Linked DNA regions of Oryctolagus cuniculus. The protein of the gene in region 4 purifies or fractionates together with the protein of the main gene of each other region. This does not show direct contact. Links are inferred from orthologs where the notes say so. Each region holds a gene or a part of one and is shown on either strand. Other genes may lie near its edges.

Evidence for each region.
Region 1: the proteins of CCND1 (region 4) and CUL1 purify together in Homo sapiens (affinity purification with western blotting; 4 studies listed by BioGRID). This does not show direct contact. The link is inferred for Oryctolagus cuniculus from reciprocal best matches to the Homo sapiens genes CCND1 and CUL1.
Region 2: the proteins of CCND1 (region 4) and CDK5 purify together in Homo sapiens (co-immunoprecipitation; 4 studies listed by BioGRID and IntAct, counting the BioPlex papers as one, with this or other methods). This does not show direct contact. The link is inferred for Oryctolagus cuniculus from reciprocal best matches to the Homo sapiens genes CCND1 and CDK5.
Region 3: the proteins of CCND1 (region 4) and cyclin-dependent kinase inhibitor 2A purify together in Homo sapiens (affinity purification with western blotting; 3 studies listed by BioGRID and IntAct, with this or other methods). This does not show direct contact. The link is inferred for Oryctolagus cuniculus from reciprocal best matches to the Homo sapiens genes CCND1 and CDKN2A.
Region 5: the proteins of CCND1 (region 4) and HDAC3 purify together in Homo sapiens (affinity purification with western blotting; 5 studies listed by BioGRID and IntAct, with this or other methods). This does not show direct contact. The link is inferred for Oryctolagus cuniculus from reciprocal best matches to the Homo sapiens genes CCND1 and HDAC3.
Region 6: the proteins of CCND1 (region 4) and CDK2 purify together in Homo sapiens (affinity purification with western blotting; 12 studies listed by BioGRID and IntAct, counting the BioPlex papers as one, with this or other methods). This does not show direct contact. The link is inferred for Oryctolagus cuniculus from reciprocal best matches to the Homo sapiens genes CCND1 and CDK2.

Annotation. Positions count from the first base shown.
Region 1 is NC_091434.1:174,882,088-174,886,257, forward strand, and holds the start of CUL1 (cullin-1), read right to left. Parts: upstream 2,801-4,170; 5' UTR 2,684-2,800; intron 2,483-2,683; exon of another isoform or gene 2,346-2,482; intron 2,283-2,345; exon of another isoform or gene 2,064-2,282; intron 1-2,063. UniProt on the Homo sapiens protein: Core component of multiple cullin-RING-based SCF (SKP1-CUL1-F-box protein) E3 ubiquitin-protein ligase complexes, which mediate the ubiquitination of proteins involved in cell cycle progression, signal transduction and transcription.
Region 2 is NC_091438.1:22,758,652-22,763,571, forward strand, and holds the start of CDK5 (cyclin-dependent kinase 5), read left to right. Parts: upstream 1-1,800; 5' UTR 1,801-1,917; coding exon 1,918-1,954; intron 1,955-2,559; coding exon 2,560-2,648; intron 2,649-2,734; coding exon 2,735-2,802; intron 2,803-2,910; coding exon 2,911-2,971; intron 2,972-3,075; coding exon 3,076-3,132; intron 3,133-3,781; coding exon 3,782-3,877; intron 3,878-3,972; coding exon 3,973-4,047; intron 4,048-4,217; coding exon 4,218-4,314; intron 4,315-4,485; coding exon 4,486-4,555; intron 4,556-4,920. UniProt on the Homo sapiens protein: Proline-directed serine/threonine-protein kinase essential for neuronal cell cycle arrest and differentiation and may be involved in apoptotic cell death in neuronal diseases by triggering abortive cell cycle re-entry. Interacts with D1 and D3-type G1 cyclins.
Region 3 is NC_091432.1:185,037,687-185,042,646, forward strand, and holds the start of cyclin-dependent kinase inhibitor 2A, read right to left. Parts: upstream 3,215-4,960; 5' UTR 3,157-3,214; coding exon 3,031-3,156; intron 1-3,030. UniProt on the Homo sapiens protein: Acts as a negative regulator of the proliferation of normal cells by interacting strongly with CDK4 and CDK6. This inhibits their ability to interact with cyclins D and to phosphorylate the retinoblastoma protein.
Region 4 is NC_091432.1:3,246,755-3,251,698, reverse strand, and holds the start of CCND1 (G1/S-specific cyclin-D1), read left to right. Parts: upstream 1-1,791; 5' UTR 1,792-1,939; coding exon 1,940-2,137; intron 2,138-3,346; coding exon 3,347-3,562; intron 3,563-4,030; coding exon 4,031-4,190; intron 4,191-4,944. UniProt on the Homo sapiens protein: Regulatory component of the cyclin D1-CDK4 (DC) complex that phosphorylates and inhibits members of the retinoblastoma (RB) protein family including RB1 and regulates the cell-cycle during G(1)/S transition.
Region 5 is NC_091437.1:29,205,978-29,210,863, reverse strand, and holds the start of HDAC3 (histone deacetylase 3), read left to right. Parts: upstream 1-1,583; 5' UTR 1,584-1,660; coding exon 1,661-1,715; intron 1,716-1,822; coding exon 1,823-1,905; intron 1,906-3,185; coding exon 3,186-3,328; intron 3,329-4,886. Other genes in the region: RELL2 (RELT-like protein 2), read right to left, coding at 16-199. UniProt on the Homo sapiens protein: Histone deacetylase that catalyzes the deacetylation of lysine residues on the N-terminal part of the core histones (H2A, H2B, H3 and H4), and some other non-histone substrates.
Region 6 is NC_091442.1:58,755,282-58,760,442, forward strand, and holds the start of CDK2 (cyclin-dependent kinase 2), read left to right. Parts: upstream 1-2,066; 5' UTR 2,067-2,303; coding exon 2,304-2,419; exon of another isoform or gene 2,420-2,522; intron 2,523-3,105; coding exon 3,106-3,183; intron 3,184-3,287; coding exon 3,288-3,408; intron 3,409-4,643; coding exon 4,644-4,814; intron 4,815-5,161. UniProt on the Homo sapiens protein: Serine/threonine-protein kinase involved in the control of the cell cycle; essential for meiosis, but dispensable for mitosis. Phosphorylates CABLES1, CTNNB1, CDK2AP2, ERCC6, NBN, USP37, p53/TP53, NPM1, CDK7, RB1, BRCA2, MYC, NPAT, EZH2.

The DNA.
Region 1 (4,170 bases), on a different chromosome or scaffold from region 4:
AAGTCACTCATTCATTCAAAACAGTAACTGAGGTACCAGCACAACCAAGTTCTGAGTTACTATGAGGATTCAAAAATAAATAAGGAGCATCCCCGCCTTCAATGAGTTCACGTGCAATGTAAGGGAAATAAGGCTGTTTTGCTGATCAAGACTAAGTTAGAGTTAGAAAGGAATACCCCATCAGTGGAGAGGAGTACTCGAGCCCTGATCCCTAAGGACACCCAGCAGTCGGGCTCAGGCGTGTGTCCCGAGATCCTCTGATGCCACATAGCCTGGGGCAGGCTTGGGGGACAGGACGTGCCTACAGGGACCTGAGCACAAAGCTCTCAGGCAGAGTGGATTGTATACACTGATGAAAAACCTAGCGTATCTCAAGTTGGTTTGTTTTCTGGAAAAAAAAAATTTTAAACGGTACCAAGGGAAACAAAGCTTAACTTTTTCTTTTTAAAAGCAGACAATTCAGCCATCTTTCAAGCTTAATGAGCACTCTCCTGAAACCTCCAAAAATGGGCATAATAGAGTTAAAGCAAGTCTTGTGTTTGCGTGCTTTGGAATTTGAAATGCGATGCAACTATTTCAACTTACTATGGAAAGCAACACACAGGACTTTGAAGCAAAAATCTTTCTAATACAAAGAAAAACCTCATTCCCAAACTTTTTATAAAAATAAATGCTTAGTTCGACTTTTTCAACAGATCATCATAGATTATCCTACGTGACATAAATGCTCCAGGACTTCAGAAAGCCGGGTCCATTTTGAGGGACACTCCAAAATTAACTGCGAAACTTTAAACTGCACACACTTCTGCAAGGCAGGAACTCATGCTAGAAGCTCCTGGCTTAAAGTAAGAATGAATTTAGTTCCTCTTCTCCAATCTGTTAAGTGCATTTACAAAAACACTGTGACCCTTTACTCCACTCATAACTTTGGACTATTTTAATGCTACTGCAGCAAAGAACAATTACACAGAGTAAATACATACTTGAGTAACTTGAATGCAATTCAGTATTTGCGCACTTACTCTAACCCCTATTACGAACTGCAGGCAGCAACAGTGACCCAATCAGCAAAGAGAATCGTCTTTGGCACAGCCAGCTCAAGAAGGGACACCCTCAAGTTTGGGGCTTCATCTTAAGGAACGCCAAGCATTTCTCTTTCTCAATCATACGTCTACACTGCACAGCGCCACACAGGTGATTGGAAAGCCGGAGTTTTCGGGCTAACCTGGGCCTTGGGCACCGAAGCGCACGACCCGCGTGCCTGGCGGACCCCAAATCCCCGCGGCCGGGGCTCCCTCCCGGCTCGGGGCGCGCGCTCGTGCCGGGGCCGGGGGCGCGCCGAGGCCAGGGCGCAGGGCCTGGGGCCGAGTCGAGAGCGCTCGGCGGGCGCCGAGGGGCTCCGTCCGGTTCCGCCGCCGCCCGGGCATCCCTGCGCCGTCTGCGCCGGCCCGCTCCCCCGAGAGAACGGAGCAAAGGGGAGACTATTACCCAATAATAGCGCCCTGCACGGCCGCAACAAAGCGAGCGGGGCACCCGAGAGCCAGGGAGACCGGCTCGGCCGCTCCGGAGGCGCGCCGGAGAGCATGCCAGCGACGCCCGAGGGAGAAGCGCGAGCCGGAAGGCGGGGGAGGGAGAGAGGGCCGAAGCGCGGCCGTCCCGCGAGGGTCGCCGCACGAGGCGAGGCGAGGCGCGGCGCGGACGCCGGCCCAGCCTCCGGGAGGCGAGCCCGGCGCCACGCAGGCCGCCGCCTCCGGGCGCGATGAATCGGGCTTTTTCCCGGTGCGTAGTCCGGGCCTGGCCGCCCCGGAGCCGCGGCCCGGCCCGGCCAGGCAGGCCCGAGCCAGCCGGGGTGACTCAGGGCGGGCCCCGCTCGCCCCTCGCCCGCCCCCGGCGTCCTCCGCCCCGCGAGGGCCCCCGGCCCGGCCGCCATTCCGCCCGGCCGCGGGTCGGCGGCTCAGGCCTCGCCCGCCGCCTGCGCTCGGCCGCCGCGGCCCCAGTCACTGCGACACCGCGGCTCGAGGCCGGGCCTGCGCCGCCGCCTCCGTTGGGCCGCCGACACTCACCCGCATTTCCAAACGCCCGAAAGGCTCCCGCGACGTCTCCGCCGGGTCGCTGGGTCCCGGTGAAACCCCCCCCGTCCCGCCAAGGTCTGGCCGCGTCCCTCAGCCACCGGGGCTGCCCCGCCTGGAGCTGCGTGCGACACGGCGCCCGCCTCCTCCTCCTCCTCCCCTGCCTGCCCGCCCGCCCGGCCCTCCTCCTCCTCCCGCCGCCGCCGCCGCCGCCTGCACCACGCAACCTCCGCCCTCTCGCCTTCCCTGCGCGGCTCCCCGCCCTCCCGGCCTCACCGGCTCCGGCGACCGCGGGGGAGACGCTGTTGGGGGAGGGCCGGAACGCACCGCCATCGGCGTCCGGGGCGGGGGAGCCGGGAAACCGTCGCCGCCATCGCCCCACCAGCCTGAGGCGCGGGAGGGGCCCGGCCGCCTCCCGCCCGCCGGGGTCCCCCCCGCTCGCTTGGGTTGTTTCTACCTGCAGTCTCGTGGCCCCTGGCCCCCCCAAACGCCCGAGCCGCCCCCCACCGGGCGCACCGGATCCTCCACCAGGTTTCACAGCCCGCCTCGCCTGGGGGCCGCCTCCGAGGGAGACCCGGCTTCCCGCCACTCGGGACCTCGCGAGCGGGGCTGACCTGGGGGCTGGAGGGGCGGCGGGGGGCTCCGGCCTCTGGAGACGCTGCGCGAAGCAGCGGGAGGAGAGGGGCTCCCCGCGCCCCTGCCCCTCCCCGTGCGCACACACTCCCCCAGAGCTGACATGGAACCCGACTACCCCCAGCCACGTGCCTCCGGGGACCGGGAGCGCAACCAGCAGCGGTGTCCCCGACTGGCGTTTAAAGTCAGCGGGGGCAGGTGGTCCCGAAAATCCGCGCGGACTCCCGCGACACGTGCGCGCCTCGCTCTCCCCGCGGTGCACCTGCCCGCCTTCGGAAAGAGCGCCCGAAAGCCTGAGCCAGGCTGGCTGCATGTCTTTCTTAAAAAGTCTTTTTCTAAAATACACCCAACCAGGCTCCCCTCCTCAAACCCTTTAACCGACGCGCTTTGGGCAAATTTTGACGAAGATTCGCTTTTCCTTAGTCTTTGTAAGCACACATCAAGAACAGAATTGAAGGTTTTGATGACATGCTTGGCATGAGATGTGACTATAAAATACTGTTTTCACGTGTCGTCAGTAGTAGTTAATCTCACTCCTTAGGAATAATCTTAGGATTGGGTGTTTGGAATATTAAGCAAAATTTGGCAGCACCAGTAACAGAAAGCATTGACTTACCTCACACCTAGTGAGATTGCGAGATGCCTAATTCCACTGAATGAGTAAGGAAGGGTTTCCAATTAGCCTGTCGTCTGGGCAGAAGTTAGGATGGAGGCAGTTTCCTGTTTTCGCCAAACCAAAACATTGCAGAGATTGTAGAAGCACTTTGGGGCAGAAGTGGTCAGCCAGAGCAGAAGGCCACCCCCAGAGTCCACACGGTTCCCCTAGGAACACCGGGTTCTCTTAGAAGAAAAATCCCTCTCTGAAATGGGGGTCTTTTGTCAGTCTCTGTTAAGCATCCTTAGTTTGTAAATAAACTTGTCACCAAAGTATGGAATCCTTAATTTGTGCAGGGGTTGAAAAATTCTTGGTCTGTACACTTCTAAGTAACCTAGTCAAACGAATCGTTAGGTGTATGTAGCCACTTTTTATATGGCTTTCCTGTAATATCCTTGGTTCCTCTTACTGGGACTTGTGTGTTCCACAGACAACTTATCTCCGAATTCCTTAACCTGTCTTCTCCATCTCTTTCAATGGGGTTTCCTTGTCTGTGACTTCCCACAGATGAAGGTAATGGCTAAATGGGTCAACTTTCCCTTTATTGTTTACCAGAAAACCTTCTGTTTTGTGGGTTTCAAAAAAAAAAGTTTTATTTATTGGAAAGCCAGAGTGACAGAGATGGGGAGACAGAGAGCGATCGATTAATTATTCATGTACTGGTTTACTCTGCAAATGCCAGCAATAGCTGGACTGGGCCAGGCAGAAGCCAGGAGTCGGGGATTAAATCTGGCTCGCTCATGTTGGTGGTAGGGACTCAAGTCCTTGAGCCATCACTTACTGTCTCCCAGATTTGTGCATTAGCAGGAAGCT
Region 2 (4,920 bases), on a different chromosome or scaffold from region 4:
CGCGGCCCTGGCCCTCCCCCGCCGCCACCTTTCCGCTCACCCGCTTGCTCGGCGCTTCGTGCCCCGGGGGTCTCGGGGTCTCTCCCGGTCCTCCAGCGCCCTCGCGCGCTCCCAAATGCTTCCCCGTGCCCACCCCGGGGCGCGCCCCTGCCGCTCCCAACTTCTCCCAACTCAACTTTCCCCCGCGTCGCGGGCAGGCCAGCCCCCAGCGTGCGCGCCCCCCGGCGCACCGTGCGCGGCCCCGCCGCGGCCAGTGGGGAGGCGGAGAGCGGGGGCCGAGGCCAGGGGGTGGGGGCGCGCTTCCAGGCACAACCCGGCACCAGGAGCCGGGCCCCGGAGGCCGCCCCCGCGGGGGGTCTCTCGGCCTGGCCAGGCGAGGCCGCCGCCCAGGCCTTCCCTGCGCGGGGCTCTGGCGCCCGGGGACGCCGTCTCTTGCTCCATGACGGCACTTCTGGGCGGAGAAGAGCCTGCTTTTCGCTGGAGATCCCAGCCGGCACAGGACGGCCGGGAAAGCCAGGCAGTTTCGATACAAACGCAGCAGGGCCAAGACTCTCTTGCGCCCACCTGCACGCAACCCCCCAGGCCTCCAAGAGAAGCCCCCCTGTCTTTGCACGGGGCACGAGGTGATGGCGGCTGGAGGTTGGCTGTCCCTTACCCCGAGTTGACCTAGGACCGGTCACTTTCAGGGACACAAACGCCTCGCGGCGGCCCCCTCCTCGTCCTTGCTACCTCCCACCCTGAATCGAGTCCTGTTCTTTTAAAGAACTTGTGTGCCATCTTGTTTTCTCAATTAAAAATGCGTTTAGGTAAGGATTATATACTTTTTTGTTTTTTTAGTCTGCCACGTGGGTGAAGCACAGCATTGTGTATGCGAAAGCATTCTGATATAAAGGAATTAATCCACAAATTGTCAGCACCAGTTCTGGTTCCTGGCTGCGGAGTGCTATTTGGGGCTGTTTTCGTCCAGTTCACAGCCCGGAAGAATGCAATCATGAGACAATTAGAGAGCAGCACAGGAAAATCTATAATCAACTGCCGTAAGGGATGAGGTAAAGGCTGCTGTAAGTGTAGCATCTGTCTGTGGTCTTGTCTGTAGAGGGGGTAACCAACCTGTCAGCCCTCGTGGGCCACACCCTTACTGCCTCCAGTGGGCTCTGCTCGGAAGACTGGGATCTGGGGGGACTCCCAGGGCTCCAGCCGGCTCGCCTCATCATGGGCTCCGAGACGACAGATGAGGTCCAGCAGAGGGAGAAGTCACCCTTCCAATCCAGCCAGAAATGGCAAACACCTGCCTCTACCCAGCCCTGGGGTCAGCTGGTCCCTGTGAGGTCATCGTTCCTATTCCCCAATCAACCTTGAGGTCACTGGGAGGCCTGGGGCGAGGTGGAAACCCGCGCTGAGGTCGCTCGGAACTCATCATCACCAACCAGGTCAGAGCTGAGCCACTAGGTCCCGGATCTGGGCCGCCAGACCTCAACCCGAGGGCGCCCTACCCCCACCCCGCCGCATTCTGGAACGCGTAGTCCCAGAGCGACCCTTTTCAAGAAGGCACACAGAAAAGGAGTAACAAGAGCGGGGCACACTGGGAACCGTGGCGTCACGGTGGGGACGCCCAAGGAGCGGACGCGTGATGCTTTCTGGGACTTGGAGTCCAGGGTTTGCCTCCGCGGTCGAACCGGAGTCCCGGGAGTCGAGTGCTGCAGAGGACCTTAGCGCAGCCTGCTGGGGGCTGTAGTCCTCTTGCCCGAGTCTCCGGACACCGCTGGGAAACCTGGCCGTCCTAGGACTACAAGCCCCAGAAGGCCATGCGCAGACAGGAGGCGGGGCGGGGCCGGAGGCTGGGGTGCCGCCTCCTCTGCAACGCCGGGGCCGGAGTCTTAGAACCCAGGGCCCGCAGGGGTCCCCGCGGCTGCCGTGATGCAGAAATACGAGAAGCTGGAGAAGATTGGGGAAGGTAATAGAACCACGAGATGTTCCTGCAAGATCTTCTTCTGCAGACCCTTCGGGATTCCTTGCAGCCTAGGCTCTCCCGTAGTCTGCGGTACCTGCAGGCTCCGACCTCAGCACTGGCTTGCAGCCCTGGCCCCCAAGCTCAGCACTCCGTGCAGACACCAGCCCTGCCCGTGTTAGCATTCTCCGCGGACTCCCACTCCCAACGTTAGCCTCCCTGTGGAGCCGACCTCCCAGCCGCGGCACGTCCTGCGTTTCCCACGCCTAGCTTCAGCACCACTTGCACATCCTCACCCGGACCCCAGCAGATCTTCAGCCTTGACATTTCTGCAGGCCCTCAGTTCTCTCCCAGAGTCCTGCTATGGCCAGACCTCCCGGAGTGCCGCCCTTATTAGCGCTGTCCTTACCCTGGCCTCCGGCTCAGACCCTGGAGCCTCAACCTTTAGGCCTTCCCTACCCTGCAGCGTCCTCACTTACAAAGCTCTTGCAAGCCTGCCCCTCACCCTGAAGCCTTTCCCTTACACACTCAAGTGCCCTTCCCCCTCCCCATTTCCTGGGGATGGGGAGGGTGCCGCATCCTCCCCCTCATCTATGACCTCCTCCCCTTAGGCACTTACGGAACAGTGTTCAAGGCCAAAAACCGAGAGACTCACGAAATCGTGGCTCTGAAACGCGTGAGGCTGGATGACGATGACGAGGTAGGACCGGGGACACCAGGGCAGGGAGTGGCAGATGAGGAGGCCTGGGGTGAGTGGGATCTGACTGCTGCTCCCTCGCTGTGCAGGGTGTGCCGAGTTCAGCCCTCCGGGAGATCTGCCTGCTTAAGGAGCTGAAGCACAAGAACATTGTCAGGTGTGGAGGGGGCAGGGGGCCCTGCAGGTGGAGGAGGAGGGGGCTTCAGCCTGGTTGGGGTGGTGCAGACGTGCAGACCTGCCTGGCTCAGCCCTTGCTTCTCCGTAGGCTTCACGATGTCCTGCATAGTGACAAGAAGCTGACTTTGGTTTTTGAGTTCTGTGACCAGGTGAAAGGGGATGGGGGTGGGCTGAAAGGGAGCAGGCTTGGGAGGGTGTGGGGCCCAGACGGAGGTTCACCTCTGTCCTGTTCCCCCGCTGCATCCCTTGACAGGACCTCAAGAAGTATTTTGACAGCTGCAATGGTGACCTCGATCCTGAGATTGTGAAGGTGAGGGGAAGGGTGTTCTGGGGGCTCTTCGGGGCTGGGGTTCCGGTCTGTATGCAGTGTCAGCTCTCCTGTTTAGGCACAAATCAGGGACTTTCTGGGGGGGGGGTGTCAGAGAAAGAGCAAACCTGCTCCTGCCCTCCAGGGGCCTCCGGGCTTAGCCAGCATTTCCACATGGCCTCCTTGGACCTGTATAGTGACACTCTGAGGCCAACGGCTATTTCCACCCAAAGAGCTACACTCATTTAATCAACAAACATTTGCTGAGAGTACTAGGCCCGAGACCAAGTGCCTTGGCCCAGGTTCCAGGGGAGTCAGGTCCTGAACCATCCCAGAGCACAATATCCATGTTGATGGTGACAGACTGTACACTCAGGTCCAGCCAGGTAGGGGAGAGAGGCATGGGCTGGGAAGGCAGAAGGCCTATCGGGCTATAAGGTCTGGAAGGGCAGGGAGCAGAGCCACTTGTTTCCTGCTGTACGGGCTGCAAAGCCAACCCTCGGCAGTGAGTGCATATAGTGTTGTCCTGAGCTTGGTGCTGGGGATTGGGTAGGACATGGAACAAAGCTGAGGGTGAGGCAGGGAGCATGCCCATGGCTGGCATCACCTCGTAGCCAGGGTGTCTGACTCTGTCCCCTCTGCCCCTCTCTAGTCATTCCTCTTCCAGCTGCTGAAAGGCCTGGGATTCTGTCACAGCCGCAACGTGCTGCACAGAGACCTAAAGCCCCAGAACCTGCTCATAAACAGGGTACTGCTCAGGGGAGAAGGGGAGGGCAGGGGGCAGGAGCCTGCCCTGAGACGTTTAACAGCCCCGTGCCGTGCCTCCCTCCCGTCTCCCCCCAGAATGGGGAACTGAAATTGGCCGATTTCGGCTTGGCTCGAGCCTTTGGGATTCCTGTCCGCTGTTACTCAGCTGAGGTGAGCTGGGGGGTGGGATTTGGAGTTGAGGGGAGCAGTCCCTGGTGTTTTTCAGCTCCTGCTCCATGACCAACCCGAGACAGTGCCCTCTCTTCTCTGAGCTCCCCTCTCCACCCTCCGTCCCAGCCCTCTAAACGGGAGGGCGTCCCTGTGGGTGGGGTCTTCTCCAGGTGGTCACGCTGTGGTACCGCCCACCGGATGTCCTCTTTGGGGCCAAGCTGTACTCCACGTCCATCGACATGTGGTCAGCCGGCTGCATCTTCGCAGGTGACGTGCTGGGGCGGCTCTGCTCTTTCTCCCCAATCTGGGTTGACAAACAGGGTCTGGAGGGTGCCCTCTCGGGGAAGGGAGTAGGGCCCTCGGGTCCGGGAATGGCAGGTGCAGGGGTGCCTCGGAGTGAGGAGTGCGCGGTGCGTCACGGCTGTGCCCCTCTCACAGAGCTGGCCAATGCCGGCCGGCCCCTCTTCCCTGGCAACGATGTGGATGACCAGCTGAAGAGGATCTTCCGATATCCTTTCGCTGCCCCCAGGGCCCTGAGCCCTGGGCCCGCTGGAAGCGGGTGAGGCCGTGGACCGACAGCACAGGTGTGAGGGTGGCGGTGGCCTTGCCGGGATGGCGGGGTCTGCAGGCTTCTCCTGAGGGTGAGAGGCAGGCAGCTGGCACACGCTGTGCAGAGGTGCGGCCTGCAGGCACAAGGGCACGCTGGGGTGTGCTTCCGGACAAGTTCTTAGGCCAAAGCAGGGGGGTTTTGTGGAAGAAAGGGAAGAACACTGGCTCATTGGGACCCCAGACAGCAGCATTTGGGTTAGTGCTTGCGATGCTCCTGGCCCATCTCGGTGCTGTGCATGTGGCACTGAATATGCCAGCCACGTG
Region 3 (4,960 bases), about 180 Mb from region 4:
CCAAATCCATAACCTTTCCACCATAAGAACCACCCCCTTTCATGGGTCCATAATTTGATTGCTGTTGTTCATTCTAAATTCGAACATCATTGTAGCAATCACCACCACCATAGTTAGAACCTCCAAAATTTCCTCCTTCATTGTAACCATCATATCCTCCTCCTTCACCCTATCCACCACCTTGCTTTCCATATCCTGGGCCACTACCATCATAGCCTCCTCTGCTACCATAGCAAGGACTATAGCCCTAGTTGCTACCATCACCTCTAAAACTATTATATCTATGGTCACCTCCTCTATAACTTCCTCTGCCGCTGCCACCTCCACAACCATAGTCTCGTCCTCCAACAAAGTCTCACCATGGCCAAAATTATCTCCACCACCTCCAAAGGTTCTTCCCCAACCCATAAAGTTGTCAGATTCATGTCCACAGCCACTTGGTGATCCAGCGGCAGACTGCACCTCTTGTTTAAAAGAGGCCATTTTCACTTCACAACTATGCCCATTAATAGTGTGCTATTTCTGAGCAACAATTTTTATCAGCCTTATCATGACATTCAAGAGATACAAAAAGCAATTCCTCTCCACTCCCCTCCCCAACTCTGCCTGTCTTCCAAAACGTCTACGGTTTCAATCTTGGCACATTCCTCAAATTAGATTCTTCTGTACCTTCATTAATACCACCCACAAAAATCTCCCTCACTCTTAAATGAACACCAGGCTTTACCAAATCCTCTCTAGAAGCAGCTCTCTTTGGTTCCACTCCATGTACAGCAACCTTGTGTGATCAAGCACACACTGCTTCATCCACCTCGTCAACACAAGAGAAAGCCACAAAACCAAAGCCCCTGGAATGTTTCGTTTCAGGGTCTCTCTTTACAGTCTGTGAGTGTGCCCCTATTCTTAAAGTGTTTTCTCCAACTATCAACTGTAGTTTCAAAAAGATCAGGACACCCACCCATCCACAGTTTCCTCAAATGCTCTGTTTCCTGCACATCACAGTCCTCCATTTTGAGACTGGACTCAGCTCTTCCAACTGCAGTTCAATATGGGACAGAGAGGAAGAGAGGAAAAACACTTCTAAGCTTATGATTGGAGAGTTTATTAAATGGAAAATGCTCACCTCTGATTCCTAAATCATCTTTGAAACAAAGCCATTCCCAAAGAGTAATTTTACAATGGTGTCCAAAATCACAGCAGCTTTACAATTTGACTGTTGAATGGAGAGGTGGGAGAGAGAGAATTCTTTCAGGATAACCACTGTTTGGTTATATTAACCCAAAGATAGTGACTGTGTAAAGAGGAATTACTTATTTCTAGTCATGTTCTGTCCATTAAACATGAATTACTTAATTCGTGTAAATCAAGGAGACATAATAAATTATACTGTAGCTGTTGAATCCTGCCTTGAAGAAAGTGAAACTGATTTAGTTTTCAAAATGACCAGAAGAAAATGTAAGTGAACTAAATTACAGTAACAGAAAGAAAGAAAAAACAGTGCACTGCACTGTTTGGGTATATTATAAAGTCCTTCATTTTGGTCATGAAGCTGGTCTTAAACCTTTTTTTAATGTTTTGTTGCATGAAAAAAAATTGAAAAGTGGCACACATTTAAATATTCAAACCATAGTAGCAATTAAAAGCAAAAAGAATGAATTAATTAAATGAATATTTGGAGGGTGATTAAATAAATTTAATAAGAAATTTACTTGAATTTATTTCTTTATTTTTTCTATAAACTAAGTATTTCTGTGTTAAACATAAATTTGGTTAGGGTTCTAAACGAAATTATCTTCCCTTTCTCCTCCCTATTAAGAAACTCAGAATCATCCAACCAAATTTGCCTTTTTTATTTAATCAAATAAGGTCTCTTCTAAAACTACAAAGCCAAATTGTTTCCATGCTGCTGGCAAAATTTTAGAGATGTGATATTATGAGTGGTGCACACATTATTATGCATACATTCTTAAATAACCACCCAACTTTTCAGTTTCAAAATGTCTCCATACTTCAGATCCCAAATGATCTCAAGTTTTAAAGATTTCTGGTTTTATTTTTATATCTATATTTTAAATATATAAAAGTTATCCTATGTAGCATAATTTCAGGAAAGGAGAACTCATTTGTGAAATTCCATGTAGAATTACTTTCCTTTGTCTTTGTTGTGCTGGAGTTTTTGCAACACGCATTCGTTTCATAAAAGTTTTCTTTCTTTATGAATCAGAACTCATTTTGACCACCAGGGATAAAACTAGGGTGGTGACTGCCAGTAAGAATTTGGTTTTAGACTGAAATTTAGGAAGTTGGTGTAGACAAAAGAGCAAAACAATCTACGTACGGCCCAAACCAGAGGGCAGAGGGGGAGAAATGACACTGCTCAACAATCCCAAATAAGTTAAGCCATAAAAACCAAAAAATACCCTGAATAATAGGAGATATCCCCAAAGGGTAACTATACATTATCTCAAGCGAGATCACAGTAATGCTTCTCTCCATATTTGTCTTCATTTCCCAAGTTCTTATAGTAAGTACAGATTACCTCAGTCAGAGTTAAAATAAGTAGCGTATATATTTACTTTTGAATAATTCCAATCGGTATTTTATCCGATTTCCACCGAAATCCCCCTTTATTGAGAAAGAGGATAAACACCATTCAGGGGCCTTTGAGTTTGGGGCTGAGAAGTCCCAGCAAATCATTATTAAAAATACATGGCTTTGAAACTCGCGTTTCATCCCCAACGTTCGTGAATTTTGCACCTGATAGAGTTAGATCTTATAAAATCGCTCCCCCTTGCCAGATCGTCCCAGCAGTCTAGAACTCCACAGCGCACGTGCCTGCTCTTTGCTTCGGTGGCTTCCCGACCCGCCACCCCACTGGGGTCGCCAGGAGAAAGTTTTTGATTCCTTGCTCCACGGGAAAACTCCCCAAGACGGATGCATCGAAGCGCTCCCCGGTAGTGCAGCCCTGCAAACCTCGCACTCCAGAGCCCCCGGCTGTCCGCTTCTCCGGCCGCCCATCCGCGCACCTACCTGGATCGCCGACCGACCATAGCGGTTAGGAGCGTCGGGCGGCACTCCGGCCTCGAGCAGCGCCCGCACCTCCTCCACCCGGCCCCGCGCCGCGGCCGTGGCCAGCCTGTCCGCCGAGGGCTCCATCGGCTCCAGTGCCGCCCGACCCTCGCTGCCACCCTTCCTCCGCAGCTGTCCTGAGTCAGAGGCTGCCCTACCCTCGGACCTTACGCTCGCTCCTCCTCTTTCTTCCTCTGGGGCTGGCGGAAGAGGCCCCCCAGACTCTGTCCTTGACTCCTCCCGCGGGAGCGCCGCGGCTTTCCATTGCAGGGGGCGCCGCTCACGTGTCTCTGAGGAGGCGCCATTCGCTTGAACGCCACGGGAACGTGACACCCCTGAAGTCGCCCCACGGCGGGGCTCGTCCCGGAGCCGGAAGCGGGCGGTGGGAGGGGGGCGCCTCGGGCCCCTTCCCACCTGTCCCCTCCCCACCGTGGGTGCCACGCGGGTCCCCGAGCGAGAGCTGTTCTCCCGCGTTTCCTCCCCTCCCAGTATACCCTGCCCCGCCCCCAGCCCCTGCGTTAGAAAACCGCGCGGGATTCCTAACTGCCACGCTCGAATCTGGGCGTTTGGTATCGCAGGCACAGTATTGCTTCCTCTTTTAAAATCAGAAGACTCTCAAAGCCGTCCCCTCGCCGCCGAGGAGGGCCAGAGAGGTGTTCCTTCTTTTAAAGGACGCACCGCCCGCTCCCCCTCTCAACGCCGGGCTCGCGCGCGCGGCGTCCACGCCGAGCGAGGCTGCCTGAAGTCGGGCCCTGAGCACTCGATCTGCAGAGTCGGCCAGCTCGCGCCGCCCCGCCCCCTCTCCCCGGTGAAACGGATGTAGGGAGCGAGGGTTTTGCTGGTACAAGGGCCAAGTCCTGTGGAAGGGCTGGCTTTGGCACGAGTGGGGCAGAGTTCTGCCTGTGGGCACATGGGGGAAGTGGGGAGGGAGTCCCTGGAGGAGAGACTTCAACCTACCGGACACCCTCCCCCACCTTCTCATCTGATGAAAAGGTAAACAGAACTAGGGTATATATAGCAAGCGAAAGGAAATACAGTTAGGTTTTTTTTCCCTATGATTATTACTTTTATGAGTTTAAATATGTTTTATGTTTTGAACTAGGTGGCTCAGACCTTGCCGATAGCTTAAGCCCGTGCTTAATGGGCCTGCCGGATAACCCTGCTCTGTTTCAGTTACTTTTCAATCCTTGGTTGATTTCTCCAGCAGATCCAGAATGCCTTGGACTTTCAGTTGCTGTTTGGTCAGCAAAGCATTCAGTTTGCAAAATGATGCCAGTGCTGGCTCTGCTCCAGATTCCAGCTCCCGGCTAACGGACACCTTTGGAGGCAGAGAAGACAGCTGAAGTACTTGGGTCCCTGGCACCACATGGGAGATCCAGTGCAGTTCCTGCCTCTGGCCTCAGCCTGGCCCAGCCCTTGCTGTTTCCCAGTACTTGGCAATTGAACCCCTGGACGGGACATCCATTTCCCCCCTCCCTCTTTCTCTTTTTAATAAAATATCTTAAAATATAAATTAAAATAAAGTGATGCCAATTAAAACACTTGGGGGGGCGGCGCTGTGGTGCAGCAGGTTAAAGCCCTGACCTGAAGCGCCAGCATCCCATTTGGGTACCGGTTCTAGTCCTGGCTGCTCCTCTTCCAATCCAGCTCTCTGCTATGGCCTGGGAAAGCAGTGAAGGATGACCCAAGTCCTTGGGCCCCTGCACCCTTATGGAAGACCCAGAAGAAGCTCCTGGCTCCTGGCTTCGGATTGGCACAGCTCCAGCCCTTGCAGCCATCTGGGGAGTGAACCAGCAGATGGAATACCTCTCTCTCTGTCTCTACCTCTCTGTAACTCTTTCGAATAAATCTTTAAACACACACACACACACACACACACACACCTGTGGGA
Region 4 (4,944 bases):
CCCCTGGGCTCCGGGCCCCGCGCCCCGTCCCCAGCGCCGCGCGCCGGGCGGTGCGTGCTGGGGTCTGCGCCGCGGGACAGAGGTTCGCACAGCCGGGGACGGTGGCGCTCGGGCGCGGGGGGGAGCGGGCACGCGTCCCGAGTTACGTGGGGGCTGCTTCCCGGGGGTGGGGGGCGCCGGCCCTTTGTCTCCAAGTCAACGGGACGCCCAGAAGCGAGAGCTCTCTCGGGGCGCAGCTCCAGCTTCGTGGTGTGTTTTTTTTTTTTTTTTTTCTAACAAGTGCGGCGCTGACACCGCAAGAAAAGTTTTTAAGTTATTATTTGGAGAGGCAGACGATAAGTGCAGAAGCTGAACACCGCCTCCGTGCGCGCGGGGCCGCTCCCCGCCTGCCTGCCCCGCGCGCCCAGGCGCCGCGCCTCACGCCCGGCGGCCCGGCTTGCACTTTTGCGCCCGTCCCTGGCCCGCGCCGGCCGCCGAGTTCCGCGCGGAGATCTGCCGGGTCCGCCTAGTAACAGCGCGGCGCGGCGATTGGCTCATGCTAATTCCAGCTTCCTGCGGGGCGCGGGGCGCGGGGCGGGCTCCCCGCGGGGCCGCGGGCGCCCAGGGCCCGCGTGGGCGCGCGCCGCCCGGGGCCCCGCGCCGCCAGCCTGCGCGCGCCCACCCGAGCCCCGCCGGGCTGCGCGCGGGGCCCCGCGCACGGCCGCATGCTCGCCCGCGCCGCCGCCGCGTTGCGATTTTATGAATGAAACGGCGGCCGGCGCGGCCCGCGCCCATCCCCCCGGGGCCACCCCGAAGTCCCGGGGCTTCTCCAGTTAAGGAAAGCGCTGTTAAAAATAAAGAAAAAAAGTTTTAAAAAAGTCAAGAATGGGCAAAGTGTCCATTTAGCTTTTTAAAAAACTCAAAGAGCCCAATGGACAGACTACGCTCACTGCGTGATGCATTCTGCCCTGCGGGACCGGGGCCACGCACGCCCGGTTTCTGCTTCAAAATAGCCCGACGCGTGACTCCTCGTGGCGCCGACTCCTCGCTGTCGCCCACGGAGGCGGCCCCAGGGTAAACTCCGAGCCCCCCCACCCCGGTCGCCCTGGGCCCCCAGAACCGATGCGGGCGCGCCCGGGGGTCGCACGTAGTCCCCGGCATCAGCGACTCCCGTGCCCAGCGATTTTTTTATTATTTTTTTAATTTAAAAAAACTGGGGGGTGGGGGGCGGTTAGCAGCACCCGCATCGTGGCTTGGCCGCCTCGCAGTGGCCGCACGTGTGCTGGGCGCGAGGTGTGCGGGGGGACCCCCGCGAGGCCGGGCGGGTGCGGACACGAGGCGGCCCCGGGCGCCAGGGGCGGGACGGAGGCAGCGCCGGCCACCATTTTGGGCGGCTGCCTGTATTTTAACTATCCGAGCGAACGCGTGAGGGGCCACAGTCCCCTTGCCGCGCGCGGGGCTCGCCCCACGGGCGTGGGCCCCGACCCCCCGCACCAGCGCCGCCCCGCGTCCCCGCCAGCGCGCGGGGCCCCGATTCTACACGTGTTCCTGAAAATGAAAGGGGATGCGAGCGCCTCCCGGGGGTGCCCTCGTGGCGCTGCCCCCTCCACGCGGGTGGCCGCCCGCCCCACCCCGCCGGTCTCGGGGGCCACCCCCGCCCCCGCCCTGCGCCCCGCTTCCCCGGCGGGCGGCGGGGTGCGATTTGCATGTCTATGAGCACTCGGCTCCGGGACGGCTCCCGGGCTCGGCCCCTCGCGCGCCCGCCCCCGCGCGCGCCCCGCCCCCCGCCCCCATTCTCTGCCCGGCTTTGATCTCCGCTGAACAGCGGTCGCGTCACTCGGGCTGCTGGGGAGTTTTGTGGAAGTTGCAAAGTCCCGGCGCCTGCACAGCGCTGTCGGCGCGGCAGCGGACGGGCGGCCGGAGCCCAGCGCGCACCCAGCACCCCGCCGCCGGGCCGGCCATGGAGCACCAGCTCCTGTGCTCCGAGGTGGAGGCCGTGCGCCGCGCCTACCCCGACGCCAACCTGCTCAACGACCGGGTGCTGCGCGCCATGCTCAAGGCGGAGGAGACCTGCGCGCCCTCCGTGTCCTACTTCAAGTGCGTGCAGAAGGAGATCCTGCCGTCCATGCGCAAGATCGTGGCCACCTGGATGCTGGAGGTGCCGGCCGCGCCGCTGCTACGGAATCCGTGTTTTCCGAATAAATAACCCCGAGAGCGGGCAACTTCCGACCCGGGCAGGGGCGCGTGGGGGCTGGGGCGGCCCGGAGCGCGCCCCTCTGCAGGCGCAGGGGGAGGGGCGGCGCCGGGGGCCACCGCGGCGGGTGCGGGGTGCAGCCCGGGCGCCCTGCGCGGGCCCGGGGGGAGGGGGCGCGGGTCGGATCTTTAGGTGAATGCCCACGGACACGTATGCAAGTGCCGCTCGTGCCAGTGTTACGCGCCATCTTTGCTCTTTTATTGCAAAGCTAACGCGTTTATTAATCATTGGGGGCGGGGAGCGGCCGGCGGGGCGCGGAGGGACCGCCGCGAGGGTCCGCACGGCCGCCCGGAGCCTGCGGGAGGGGCGCGGGGCCGCGGCGCGGGCCGCTCCGAGGGACCCGGCTCGGGAATCCGGGGAGCCCCTTTGTCCCCGCGGCGGGCGCCGGGACACCCCACATGGGCGGCGTGGGCCACGCGGCGCGCCGGGCTGCAAGGTCGCGTGGCCCCCGAGGCGCCGGGGGGCTCGGCTCCGGGGGTCGTCCCGGGGCGGGCCGGGGGCCTGGGGCGCGTGCTCAGGCCCGAGGGGCGCGCGGGCGTCTTTGAGCCGCTTCTCGCAGCTCGGCGCAGTGCCCTTGCGCCCGAGGCGAAGGGGGGGGTCCCCGAGTTTGAGTTCCTGGGGCTCCCCCCGGGGCCTGCCGCGGGCTCCCGGCCCCCGGCCCAGGTAGAGCACCGCCCGAGGGTCATTTTCAGGGGTCTTCTGCGCGCCCAGTTATTTTTTTAATATTTTTAAATATTTTTTGAAAAGATGACGTCTGGGGAAATGCGGCGCGGCGGCCTGGGACGCCACCTTTGTGTCTCGCGGGCGCGGGGCGAGCGCTGCGCCGGGCCACCGCGGCCCCAGGCCCCCGGCCCCCTGCCCGCCCCCAGCCCCCGAACCCCAGCGGGTGCCGGCCCCGGATACCCCGCGCGGGCCGGGGTCCTGGGGGTCGTGCGTCCGCGCCGGTCGCGCGGGGACTTTCCCTTTCAGTTTCGGGGTGGGTGGGCCCCAGGCACGCGCGTGGCGGCGAGCGCACCCCGGGAAGCCCTCGCCGGCCCCTGGCCCGGCGCCCTCGGGCACGGAGACCCTGGCGCGGGGCGCGGGCGGCGGTCACGGCCCCGCGTCTTCCCGCAGGTCTGCGAGGAGCAGAAGTGCGAGGAGGAGGTCTTCCCGCTGGCCATGAACTACCTGGACCGCTTCCTGTCGCTGGAGCCCCTGAAGAAGAGCCGCCTGCAGCTTCTGGGGGCCACCTGCATGTTCGTGGCCTCCAAGATGAAAGAGACCATCCCGCTGACCGCCGAAAAGCTGTGCATTTACACCGACAACTCCATCCGGCCGGACGAGCTGCTGGTACCCGGGGGGCGCCCTGCGGGCCGCGGGATCCCCGCTGGGCGGGCGCGGGGAGGAGAGGCGCGGGCGGCCGGGCCGGGGCCGGGGCCGGGGCTGGGGGCGGCCCTCGCCGGCGCCCGCCGCTCGCGGTCCGCGGCTCCCACCAAGTTTTCGCCCGGCAGCGGCGTGGCCGGGCAAGCGTGGGCGGCGCGCGCCCCCTAGCGGCGCGAGCCCGGACGGCCTTCGGGCTCCAGGTGGCGGAAGGTGGCCTTTTTTTGTCCTTGCCTGCACAAGGTCGCCTCGCGGTCGCCTCCTCCCGTCTGGATCAGGGACCGTGTGCGGGTTCCTCTCCCCCACCGCGCCCCGCATTCCCTGGGCGCGCCCCTCCCTGTTCCGCCCTCCTCCCCAGGGCCCCCCCCAACCCGCGGAGGGCAGACCCCTGCGCGTGCGGCTCCTGACGCGCGCTGCGCCTTTCGCCCGCTCCCGCAGCAAATGGAACTGCTCCTGGTGAACAAGCTCAAGTGGAACCTGGCCGCGATGACCCCCCACGACTTCATCGAGCACTTCCTCTCCAAAATGCCGGAAGCCGAAGAGAACAAGCAGATCATCCGCAAGCACGCGCAGACCTTCGTCGCCCTGTGCGCCACAGGTGGGGCGCCCCGGCCAGGGCCTCGCGCCCCACCACCGCGCGCCGCCCAGGGGAGGTGGCCCCGGGGTCTCCCCGCCTGCCTGCTCTCCCAGCCTGCCTGGGGGCGGGGGGGGGCCTCTTCCAGCGACGGCCCCCTGTGCTGCGCTGGGCGCGCCTGGCAGCCGTGACCACTGCGTGCCCAGCCGGCTCTGCCTCTGCGGCCGGGCTGCCCGCCCCCACCCACCTCCACCCCTCCCCGTGTCCTCAAGGAGCCTGGACTGCGGGGGCCCCTCCTGGCCTCTCCCGGGCTGGGCCACCTGCCAGGGGCGCCTACAAGGGCGGGGAGGGGAGAGCGGCCGGCAGCGCCTGCACCACGTGCTCGGGTGGCCAGTGGCAGGCGCGCAGCCCCAGTGCGGGGGCGGCCAGCAGAGGAGCTTGGCCGCCTGAGGCCCCGCTAGGGGCGCCTGGGGCCAGCCCAGCTGAGCCTGGGAGGGGCCTCTGGCCTGGCTGCTCTTGGCGCCTGGTGTGGCACTGCCCTGGCCCCAGACCCTGCACGCCTGCAGAAGCCTGGAGGGGTCAGCTGCGCCCCCATGCAACCCCCAGCCCCACTGCTGAGTGCCAGAGGCCTGGAGACAGTGGGGGGAGGGCACAGACGCATCGCCCACCTGCCTCACCCTCGCCGCGCGCTGGGCTCCACCTCCGGCTCTGGTCCGGCCTCCCTCATCACAGCTGTCTGGGCTCACACCTGCGGGCTAGGGGTCACCCCAGAAGACAG
Region 5 (4,886 bases), on a different chromosome or scaffold from region 4:
TCACTGCTCACTCACGGGGCTGGAGCTGGGCGTCGTCTGGCTCGGAGCCCCTGGACGTGCGGCAGCGATAGCCCTTCTTCTTGAGCACGTGGCAGATCATGAAGCCCACAAGGCCCATGAGAAAGAAAACCAGCACAAGCAGGAAGAGCATGTACAGCCCATGTTGGGGCGGCTCCAGGTCAGGCTGTGGTTCCGACATGAGGCCCTGGGGGGCGAGCGCGGGCCAGGGCGCCTCCTGGGTTTAGGGGGCTGCCGCTGGAGAGTGGGGAGAGGTAGGCATGCCATTTTCAGGATCCGAAACAGGCATGCCCCAGTGGACCCTCCGGTCCCACCACCCGGCTACCCAACCAGGGAGCTGTCCCGGCCAGCGGTGCTGGTCTGCCAAGACCGCCCGTGGCAGGAGGCCCGACGGCGGCTGGGCAAGCCCTCTTCCACGACCCTGGTCCCAGACCGTTCCCCTTCCCAGCTCGTCCCGCGCTCCCGTCCCTGCCAAGGACACTGCAGCGCCAGACGGGACAGCATTCTCCAGGCGGCGGGCGCTCTGATCGCGCCTGAGTCAGCGTCCGCACCTCCCTCCGCGCCGGCCTGAGCCAGGCCTCTGCAGCCCCCTCCCCTCCCTGTACTCCCGGACCCCTCCCTTCCCTTCTCGGTTCCTCCCACCCTGGCCACCTGGCCCACCCGGTACCGGTGGTTTGGTTCTGGTTCCGACTCCGGCTCGGGTTCCGGCTCCAGGGGCGTTCTAGTCCGGCTCAAGGCCCCCGACGCCCTCCCGGCGCTCATCCCTTGGTTCCTCCCCCTCCCCCCTTCGCCGCCTCACCGGCTCCCGGCTGTGGCTGCGGATACCGGGGCCGCGGCAGGCGGGGGGAGGGAAGGATGGCGCGGGCTGCGGGCTGCTTGGCCGCGGCGGCAGGCTCTGGACAACTCCGGCCCTGGGGAAGCGAGGCGATGGGGGAGCCCCCCGCAGCCGCCCTGGGTTCCCAAATGCCGTCGCCCGTTGCCGGCCCGGGATCAAGGGGCGGAGCGCAGGTGTGCGGGGCTCAGAGCGTGAGCTCGGCGCGCGTGTGAGCGCAAGTGGGATGCGCGCGTGACTGCGCTGGGCCCCCCCCGGGGGGAATGTGCGGCGCCGAGTCTGGGTCCAGGTAGGGGACAGGAGGTTCGGCGGGGGTGCTCTTCTCTTGGTCTATCCCGCACGCCTGGCGCAGCTCCTGCCCTCAGATGCCCTGGCTGAGAGGATGGCCGGGATCTTCCCAGGGAGCTGGGGGAAGCTGGCTTTCTGCCCCTGAGAGGGGCGGCGTGCCCGGATCTTCAGCGCTTCCTAGAGCGGTGACTACTGCCTGCCCTGGGTTTGGGACAAGTGGCGGGACGGAATGGCCTGGCTTCCCGAGGATCTGGCCTCCGCCCGCAAGGCAATGTTCCTGGCATCCTAGGACGGATGCTACCCGTCCCCCGCCCAAGCCAGGATGCTAAAGCCCCAGAACCTAATAGGACACAGCCAGGCGAGTGGCCCAACTCCCGCAAGGGGCGTGGCCTGGGCGGGCGGGGCGGGGCGGGGCGGAGCGGGCCCGCCCCCGTTCCGCAGGGGCAGGCTGCGTGCTTGCGCAGCACGCACGGCGGGGGTGGGGCTGGCGGCGGAGGCGCGGGGCCTGCTCCGGCCGGCACCATGGCCAAGACCGTGGCCTATTTCTACGACCCCGACGTGGGCAACTTCCACTACGGTGAGGAAAAAGGGTTATGAGCGAGGGGTGGGGACGCAGAGGTTTCGAGTTGGGGGCTGCATCTCCAGGGGTGGGAACTGACAGACTCCGTTCTCCCGCACCCCCAGGGGCTGGGCACCCTATGAAGCCTCATCGCCTGGCATTGACCCATAGCTTGGTCCTGCACTACGGCCTCTATAAGAAGATGATCGTGAGTCTCGCAGCCTCCGGGGATTGGGGGCGAGGGCCAGCTGCGGCTTTAGGGCTAGGTGGGCTGGGCTGACTGCACCAGGGGCAAGCCGCTCCTAGAGTAGTGGGTGGCCGAATGGAAGACCCCAGAGGCACCCCTTTACATGCAGGGTGTCGAGGAGGCTTCCCCTGATTTAATGGGAGTAACTTTTCCACCTCAGGTCTGCCGCCCTTTGCCCTGCAGCAGACCAACCCTTGTCCTAGGATTAGGGTGGTGCGGGCCTGGCTTAAAGGCAGGCTTTTTCCTCCCCCTGCATTATAGGCTGTGGACAGAGCTGTGGCATTGGGTATGGGGGGGCGCTGGATCACTGTTTCTGAGTGTGAGGTTTACCCCACAGTGCCTATCGCTGCTCTTCCATGTCTCTGCCTCCGAGGAGCTAGAGCTCCAGAGAGAACTCTGCACCACGCTGAGTATGAATGTGTGGGTGTGGAAGAGAGCAGATGTCCTGGGAGTTCCCTTTACAACCCAGAATACCTCTACATGCTTCTGCTCAATAACTGCCCAATCTTCTGTCTCCCAGGCTGTGGGTCCCCAGCATGGAATTGATCGCTGTGAATAATATGGGATAGTAAACACTTAAGCCCAACCCTTGCTTGTGAGGGGACTTCGTCAGCAGCATGGATGAATGTCCATTGCTAGTGCTGAGGCACAGACAAGTGGATGGGTCATAGACAAGACGGGGGCGATGTTAGTGCAGGAGCCTGGGGGTCCCTGGAGATTGTGTGCTTGGATGCACCTGTGCATATCTTTTTCCTTGCCCAGTTTTCAAAGAGGTGTGTGAACTCCAACCCCTAAGATGATAGGTACATGTTTGATTTAGCACCTTCCATTTTAGTTAGCAGGTTGTCATACAGACTGTATATTTGACTCCAGAAACCAGATGAGAGAGACTAGAATCAGGCAGGGGAGGGAGATGAGTATGGAGGGAACCAGGAATAGGAGATCTAGGGAACAGGGCAGGGAGATCAGCGCTCGAGATTAAGAAGGAAGGAGCCGTTGGACTGGAAGTGGGAGGGAGAGGGAGAGGAAGCAACCTTTGGGATCTTGATCAGCATAACCCACCTGGCTAGTTGGAGCTTTTTTCTTCACTGACCTTTTCTCATAGAATAACAAGGATGGCGGAGTGGGGGCATTGCTGTGTGGGTTGGGACAGTCTCCAGGACTGGGTTCGGTGAGGGCTGGTCTCAGCTCCGTGAGTGAGCCTGGCCCTGCCTGAATTTGTCTTGTGTCTCCATCCCGAGGTCTTCAAGCCGTACCAGGCCTCCCAGCATGACATGTGCCGCTTCCACTCTGAGGACTACATCGACTTCCTTCAGAGAGTCAGCCCCACCAATATGCAAGGCTTCACCAAGAGCCTTAATGCCTTCAACGTGGGCGATGACTGGTGAGTGAAGGCTGGACTTTGGATGTCATCAGGTTCGTTGGTACCAGGCCCTTCGGTGAGGTCTTGGCAGCAGTGGGAAGATAGGAGGGGGGGCTACTTGTCATTGAGTCACTGTTCACTTGTTTATTCAGTAAATATTTAGTGATCATTTGCTCTAGGCCAGGGCGTGTGCTGTGAACACCAACAATATTGTAATATTAATATTAATAATTCCTAAATATCAGTTATGCAAACAGTATTCAGATTTCCTCATTCATCTCATTTTTTTTTTTTAAGATTTATTTTATTTATTTGAAAGGCAGAGAGAGAGCGAGCGAGTGTGGGAGAGTATGAGAGATCTGCGGGTTCATTCTCTAAATGACTGCAACAGCTGGAGCTGGGGCAGGCTAAAGCCAGGAGTCTAGAACTACATTTGGGTCTCTCATGTCGATGCCCAGTATGTGGGCCATCTACCACTGCCTTCCGAGGTGCATCAGCAGGGAGCTGGATTGGAAGTAGAGCAGCCGGGACTTGAACTGGTGCTCCTATGAGATGCCGTGCATCATAGATAGGTGATGGGGTAACCTGCTGCACCACAATGCCAGTCCCTCTTTTTTTTTTTTTTTTTGCAGTAAATTTTTTTTTAAATCACGATCTAAATCAAGTCAGCATTATATTTGGTTGACGTGTCTCTTAAGACTTTCAATCTATGGCTTCCCCCTCTTCTCCGTGAATTTATTTTGATGGAAGACCTCTCTCTCTCTCTCTGCCTTTCCTCTCTCTGTGTAACTCTGACTTTCAAATAAATAAATAAATCTTAAAAAAAAAAAAGATTTTCAACCTATGGCTTGCCTTCTCCTTGAATTTATTTCTTGCCCGATGTTTCTTATGATAGCTAGCATTTGTTGAGTGCTTATTCTGCTAAGTATTAACCTGAGGGTTGCTGTGCAGTCTCCTAATTCTTACGTCAACGCTGAGATGTCTTTTCTCTGCTTTGTACATAAGTAAATGGAAATTTGAGAAGATTCGGAAGCTTAACCTGAGTCACACGGCTGGTCAGTGGAGGTGACAGGATTCCGATCCAGAGCCCAGGGTTTTGAGTCATTGTTGTGTTTCCCTGAAAGAGCCTACCGACAGAAGCAGCCGGGGCAGCAGGGCAGAGGCCGACTCCTTAAGCTGGCCTTGAGCACTCTCCTGACCTCCCCACACCTCGCCAGCAAGGAACGTCCTTCCCGAAAGCCCTTGCTTTTTTGCACAGCCTCGCCAGAGCCTTCCTGCCCCTTCCCACCCTTCACAGCACCTCCATGCCAGCCTGCAGGGCCCGGTCCTGCACACACCACGCTGTTCCTGTGAGGTTCGGTCACATGCTCTCTTGGGAGGTGTCTTGTTTTTTGTTGTTGTTCCTGCTGCTATTCTGAGTTCAGTTTTAGGTCTGGGAATGCAGAGTCAGGCTTTGGGCCACAGCTGGGGCCCTGTAGATGCTCTTTGTGCAGTGAGGAAACCTTACCCCTGGACCGTTTGTGCTGCATCAGTCCTGTGGCCAGACTGAAGCTACACTGTGCTTGTTTGTGTTTCTTAG
Region 6 (5,161 bases), on a different chromosome or scaffold from region 4:
AATCTGTACCTGACCAAGAAAGTGTCTGAGTGGAAACAAGCATGGGATGGACCTCCATATTCCCTCACCCAGATCCAACAACTACCAACATTCTGCTGCGTTGGCTTTAGTTACCTTACCTGGCTGCTGTTCTTGCATTTGGCTAACATATCTCAAAAAAAAAAATGTTTTGTTATTTAACTCTACAAATTCAATACGTATATGGAAAAAAATTTTCTTTCATAAATGCAATGTCATTTGACACTGGACAAAATGATCAAGCCCAGGCCATGTAAAATTCCAAGAATATTTACGAAAAAAAAAAAGTCTTCTCATGATTTTCAAAAGCAAGATCCAAGATGTTAGCACCATCTCCCAAGAGCCTCAGGTGTGTGGGTGAGTAGAATGTTTCCAGCATACATAAAGGAACATAGTGAAAGGAGAGGACTAAAACTGCAGCAGGAAAGAGGGAAGTCGGATTCAGGAGAACTTCCGAGAAGCAGTGAGCCCAGGGATGGAGAGAGGGAAAGCAAGTGGTCGGGATATGAGGGGCTTATTTCAGCACAGTAGAAAGCATTCTCACCCCATTTCTGGGGTGCTGGGGGAAGATCTGGAGTTATCTCTTGAGCATCATGCCACCAGACAAAGAAAAGTCATAAGATGCTCTGTTCTTTCTCGAACTCCAACCCCCCCTCCTCGGAGCAGCACGGGACATTCCAGACCCTCTCACCCTCCCTCTCTTGCTCCCGTCACGAGGTCCCAATCCCCCAGAGCCCTTGCATGTGATGTTCAGCTGAGACCCCTCTGCCAGAACAAAAGGTCTGGGCTGTGTTCACTCATCCCCATCCAAAAGGGGACGGTGGTGCCCATTGAGCCTTCTGATCCAACGCTACACTCTCTTACTTCCCACTTTAAATCCCCTACCCCAAAGTGTCTGAGACATTACCTACAAGAGTCCCCCCCCCACCAATTTCACCCCTTAGAGTCCTTGCTGCAGTTCACCACCCAAGGGGTGTCTGAATTTGTGCTGCAAAGACCCACTATCCTCTGTCCCTCCAAGGAGATGGATTATTTTCATACTCAATCCCAAATCTCCTTGGAGGGAGGGGGCTCAGGTACTCTCATGTCCTCACCAAACCAAATACATGGGAGAAGTATGAAGTGTTGCTGGCATCTCCCACCAGGAGGCGGGGAAACCAGAGAAGGTGTGCGTCCTCAAATTCACACCTGCTCCTGTCCTTGCACCCACACTCACCTTCTGCGCCCCCTGCAGCCAGCAGGACACTCATCCCAGCCAAGTGGAGAAGGCACCCTCTCAGCACCAGGTCCATCCTGTTCTTCTCTCCAGCAACCAAAGGCGCTGGGGGGCCGGCCCAAGCCCCTATATAAGAAAGGGGTGCACATTTGCATAGCCCTTCCTCTTTCTCTCCAGGGGAGGCCTGGGAGGGGCAGGAGGACTGGAGGGGGGGTGGGCAGAACCGGCTAGGGACCCCGGTCCCTGGCTGGACCTTCCTTCCCCACCCTGCTACACAAAGACAGTTTCTGGTTTCACTGGGTCTCTGTCATCTCTATCCTCCATCCCCTGGGGAAGAGTTGGCTGCAAAGCAGCTACAGAGCACACATGCGACACACACCATTCATCGTGGAAGAGCTAATGCACCGGTTCTATCAGACTAGGAACCCCGGCGTCCAAAAACAAAGGGAGACACTATCTGGGCAGGCTGAGGGGCGCGGGCAACGACACCTCCGAGGCCCAGAAATCCTCTACGGCGAGAATCCGAAGCTTCCTTGCTTTTCAAAGGAGTCTCCCTAGACCAGTTGGAATTTTTAATCCACACATTTTCCCAAGGGGCGAGGTGAAAATAGTGAGAGGTCAGAGAATCCCTACTACCGCCTGGAGACGGGACTACAGCCAGGTGCTTGGGAACAGGGGCTCAACCATGCCACGGAGACAGACACCAGTCTCCGCCCTTGGAACCAAACTTGCACGGGGCGGGGTCCTCGGCGGCGCGGAGAGCGGGCCAGGCCCCGCCCCTTCTTACGCCCGCCAATCGGAAGGGGAGGGGGCGGGGCCAGGGAAACGCGGGAAGGAGAGGCGGGGCCTCTGGTGGCGGTCGGGAACGGGGGGGGTGGAGGCGGCAACATTGTTTCAAGTTGGACAAATTGACAAGAGCGAGGGATACACAGCGTTCCATCGCGCCCTGGGGCCTCGGTGCTGGGTCCTGTTTCCCGCCCCTCCGCCCACGAGAGCCCGGGCCCGCTTTCTGCAGGGTTCCCAGGCCCCCCGGCTCCAGGGCCGGGCGGACCCGGCTCGCTGGCGCTTCATGGAGAACTTCCAAAAGGTGGAAAAGATCGGAGAGGGCACGTACGGAGTGGTGTACAAAGCCAAAAACAAGCTGACGGGAGAAGTGGTGGCGCTCAAGAAAATCCGCCTGGACACGTGAGTGGCCTCCGTAGCCGCGACCCTTAGCCGGGGCGCGCCGGGACGCCCCCCGCCCCCACCGCGCGCCCCCACAGGCGTGGAGCCGTCCAGGGACCGGAAGGTAGCAGGGTGGGCCGCCTTTTGAAGTGAGACAGCGTACGGAGTTTCGCCAGGGAGAGTGTAGGGTGGCGTAGAGTCTGTGGAAAGCCTCCTCCCGACACTCAGCCGGAGGTGTGGGGGGTGGATGCCCCCAAAATGTGCAACCAGAAAGACTCCGGGGGCAAGAAAGGAGGCCCCCGGGATTGGGGAGGGCGGGTGTCTAGGAGCCCCCTTGGCGCAGGGTTATGCGGGACCTAATGAGCACTTTTCAGAGTTACTAGCCCTCCGCGCTGCCTCAGCTCCACTCTCACTTTAGAATTCTCTCCCTCCAAAGAATGGCAGTTGAGCCCCACTGGCCCCTCTGGGGAGGCTGGGTGCCACTGCTACGTATTTTGTTCTGTCACCTCCCTGGCTCACCTTCACCAGGGAGGCTTTACTTATATAGCCCTGGGAAAGGAGGAACTAAGGATCTGAATGGATCTGAAAGCCACACCCTGACTACCCAGAAATTATCTTTACTTTTCTTAGGGGGGGCCTTTTGGGGCTGGGGGGATGGGAGCGGTATTTGTAACCATATTCGAGTCTGCTTTCTCAACCTTTCCAAGTGAGACTGAAGGTGTACCCAGCACTGCCATCCGGGAGATCTCTCTGCTTAAGGAGCTTAACCACCCCAATATTGTCAAGTAAGTGTGCGTCTGGGAGGTGATCACAGCAAAGGAGGTTGAACCTCTCTGTGGTCTGGGTGGTCTCTGCTGCCCTTCCACTTCCTGGGTCTTCCTTTCCCTAGGCTACTGGATGTCATCCACACCGAAAACAAACTTTACCTCGTTTTTGAATTCCTGCACCAAGATCTCAAGAAATTCATGGATGCCTCTGCTCTCACTGGCATTCCTCTTCCCCTCATCAAGGTGATCCTTCTGAGTGATTGTTATCTTGGCCTTCTGCAGAGCCCTCATCACCCTCCCCCACCAACCCCCACACTCCTAGTACTTTTTGTCTCTTTCCCTGCTCATTATACTCATTAACCCTAGGGCTGGGCTGGAGAATCAAAGTTGAAACTTAGTGACTCAACCCCGTGGCTCAGGTGGGAGGTCAGATGAAACTCAGATAAATGGGATTTGTGAGCTCTTGGTAGATCCCTTCAAAAAGCCCTTTTGTCTTTTTAGTGGGAGAAATAGTCAAGGAATCTCTGTTGTCTGTTGTAGAACTGGATTCTTCACTCCCAGAGTGACTTTCCATCTATCAACAAGTGTTTCTTTTTTTTTTTTTTTTAAAGATTTATTTATCTATCTGAAAGAGTTAGAGAAGGGGAGGGGGGGGTCTTCCATCCGATTTCCCACTCCCCAGTTGGCTGCAACGGCTGGAGCTGTGCCAATCCGAAGCCAGGAGCCAGGAGCTTCTTCCAGGTCTCCCACATGGGAGCAGGGGCCCAAGTCCTTGGGCCATCTTCTACTGCTTTCCCAGGCCATAACAGAGAGCTGGATTGGAAGAGGAGCAGCCGGGACTAGAACCGGTGCCCATATGGGATGCTGGTGCTTCAGGCCAGAGCGTTAACCCGCTGTGCCACCGTGCCAGCTCCGAGATTTATTTATTTATCTAAAAGAGTTACACAGAGAAGGAGAGGCAGAGACAGTAAGGTCTTCCATCCCCTGGTTTACTCCCCAGTTGACTGCAACGGCCAGAGCTGGGCCAATCTGAAGCCAGGAACCAGGAGCCGGGAGCTTCTTCCTGGTCTCCCATGTGGTTGCAGGGGCCCAAGGACTTGGGCCATCTTCTACTGCTTTCCCAGGCCATAGCAGAGTGCTGGATCGGAAGTGGTGCAGCTGGGACTCAAACTGGCATTCATACAGGATGCTGGCACTGCTGCAGCAGCTTTACCTGCTACGCCACAGCGCTGGCCCCCAACTAGTGTTTCTTGAATGCATGTGTATTAAACCTTCAACCTGTAGCTACAGGGCATGAAAGAGATACAAATCTGCTTAAGACCTGGTCCTGATCTTCCTGGGACTGGGAGTCCTACCAGCAAAAATAGCTTGTAACTACAAAATAACATAGTAAAGACTTTAGTGGAGCTCTGTGGGCAAAGAGCAAACTGATGTGCTTGTTGTGATTGAACAACAATCCCCTCTCTTCCCCCTGTCAGAGCTATCTGTTCCAGCTGCTCCAAGGCCTAGCGTTCTGCCATTCTCATCGGGTCCTGCACCGAGATCTAAAACCTCAGAATCTACTTATCAATGCAGAGGGCTCCATCAAGTTAGCCGACTTTGGACTAGCCAGAGCCTTTGGAGTGCCTGTTCGTACTTACACCCACGAGGTGAGTCCACAAACCCCTCCACCCCCCGCCTTGCTTTTCTTCTCTGAGCTCCCCAGGAGGGGTTAACAAGGGCATTCACAAAGTTACTAGAAATATTTGGCCAACAGTTTCTCTTACTATATGAAAAGAATCTCTGAGACCCTAAGGGGTCTTAGGGTATGCACACAGTTCCTTCTGTGGTGCTAACTGGGATTTTTCTTTTTAAAGGTTAATTCTACTTATTTGAAAGGTGGAGAGACAGAGAAAGAGAGATCTTGCACCTCTTGGTTCACTCCCCAAATGGACACAACAGCCAGAGCTGGGTCAGGCTCCTGCGTGGGTGGGCCATCATTCACTGCTTTTCTAGG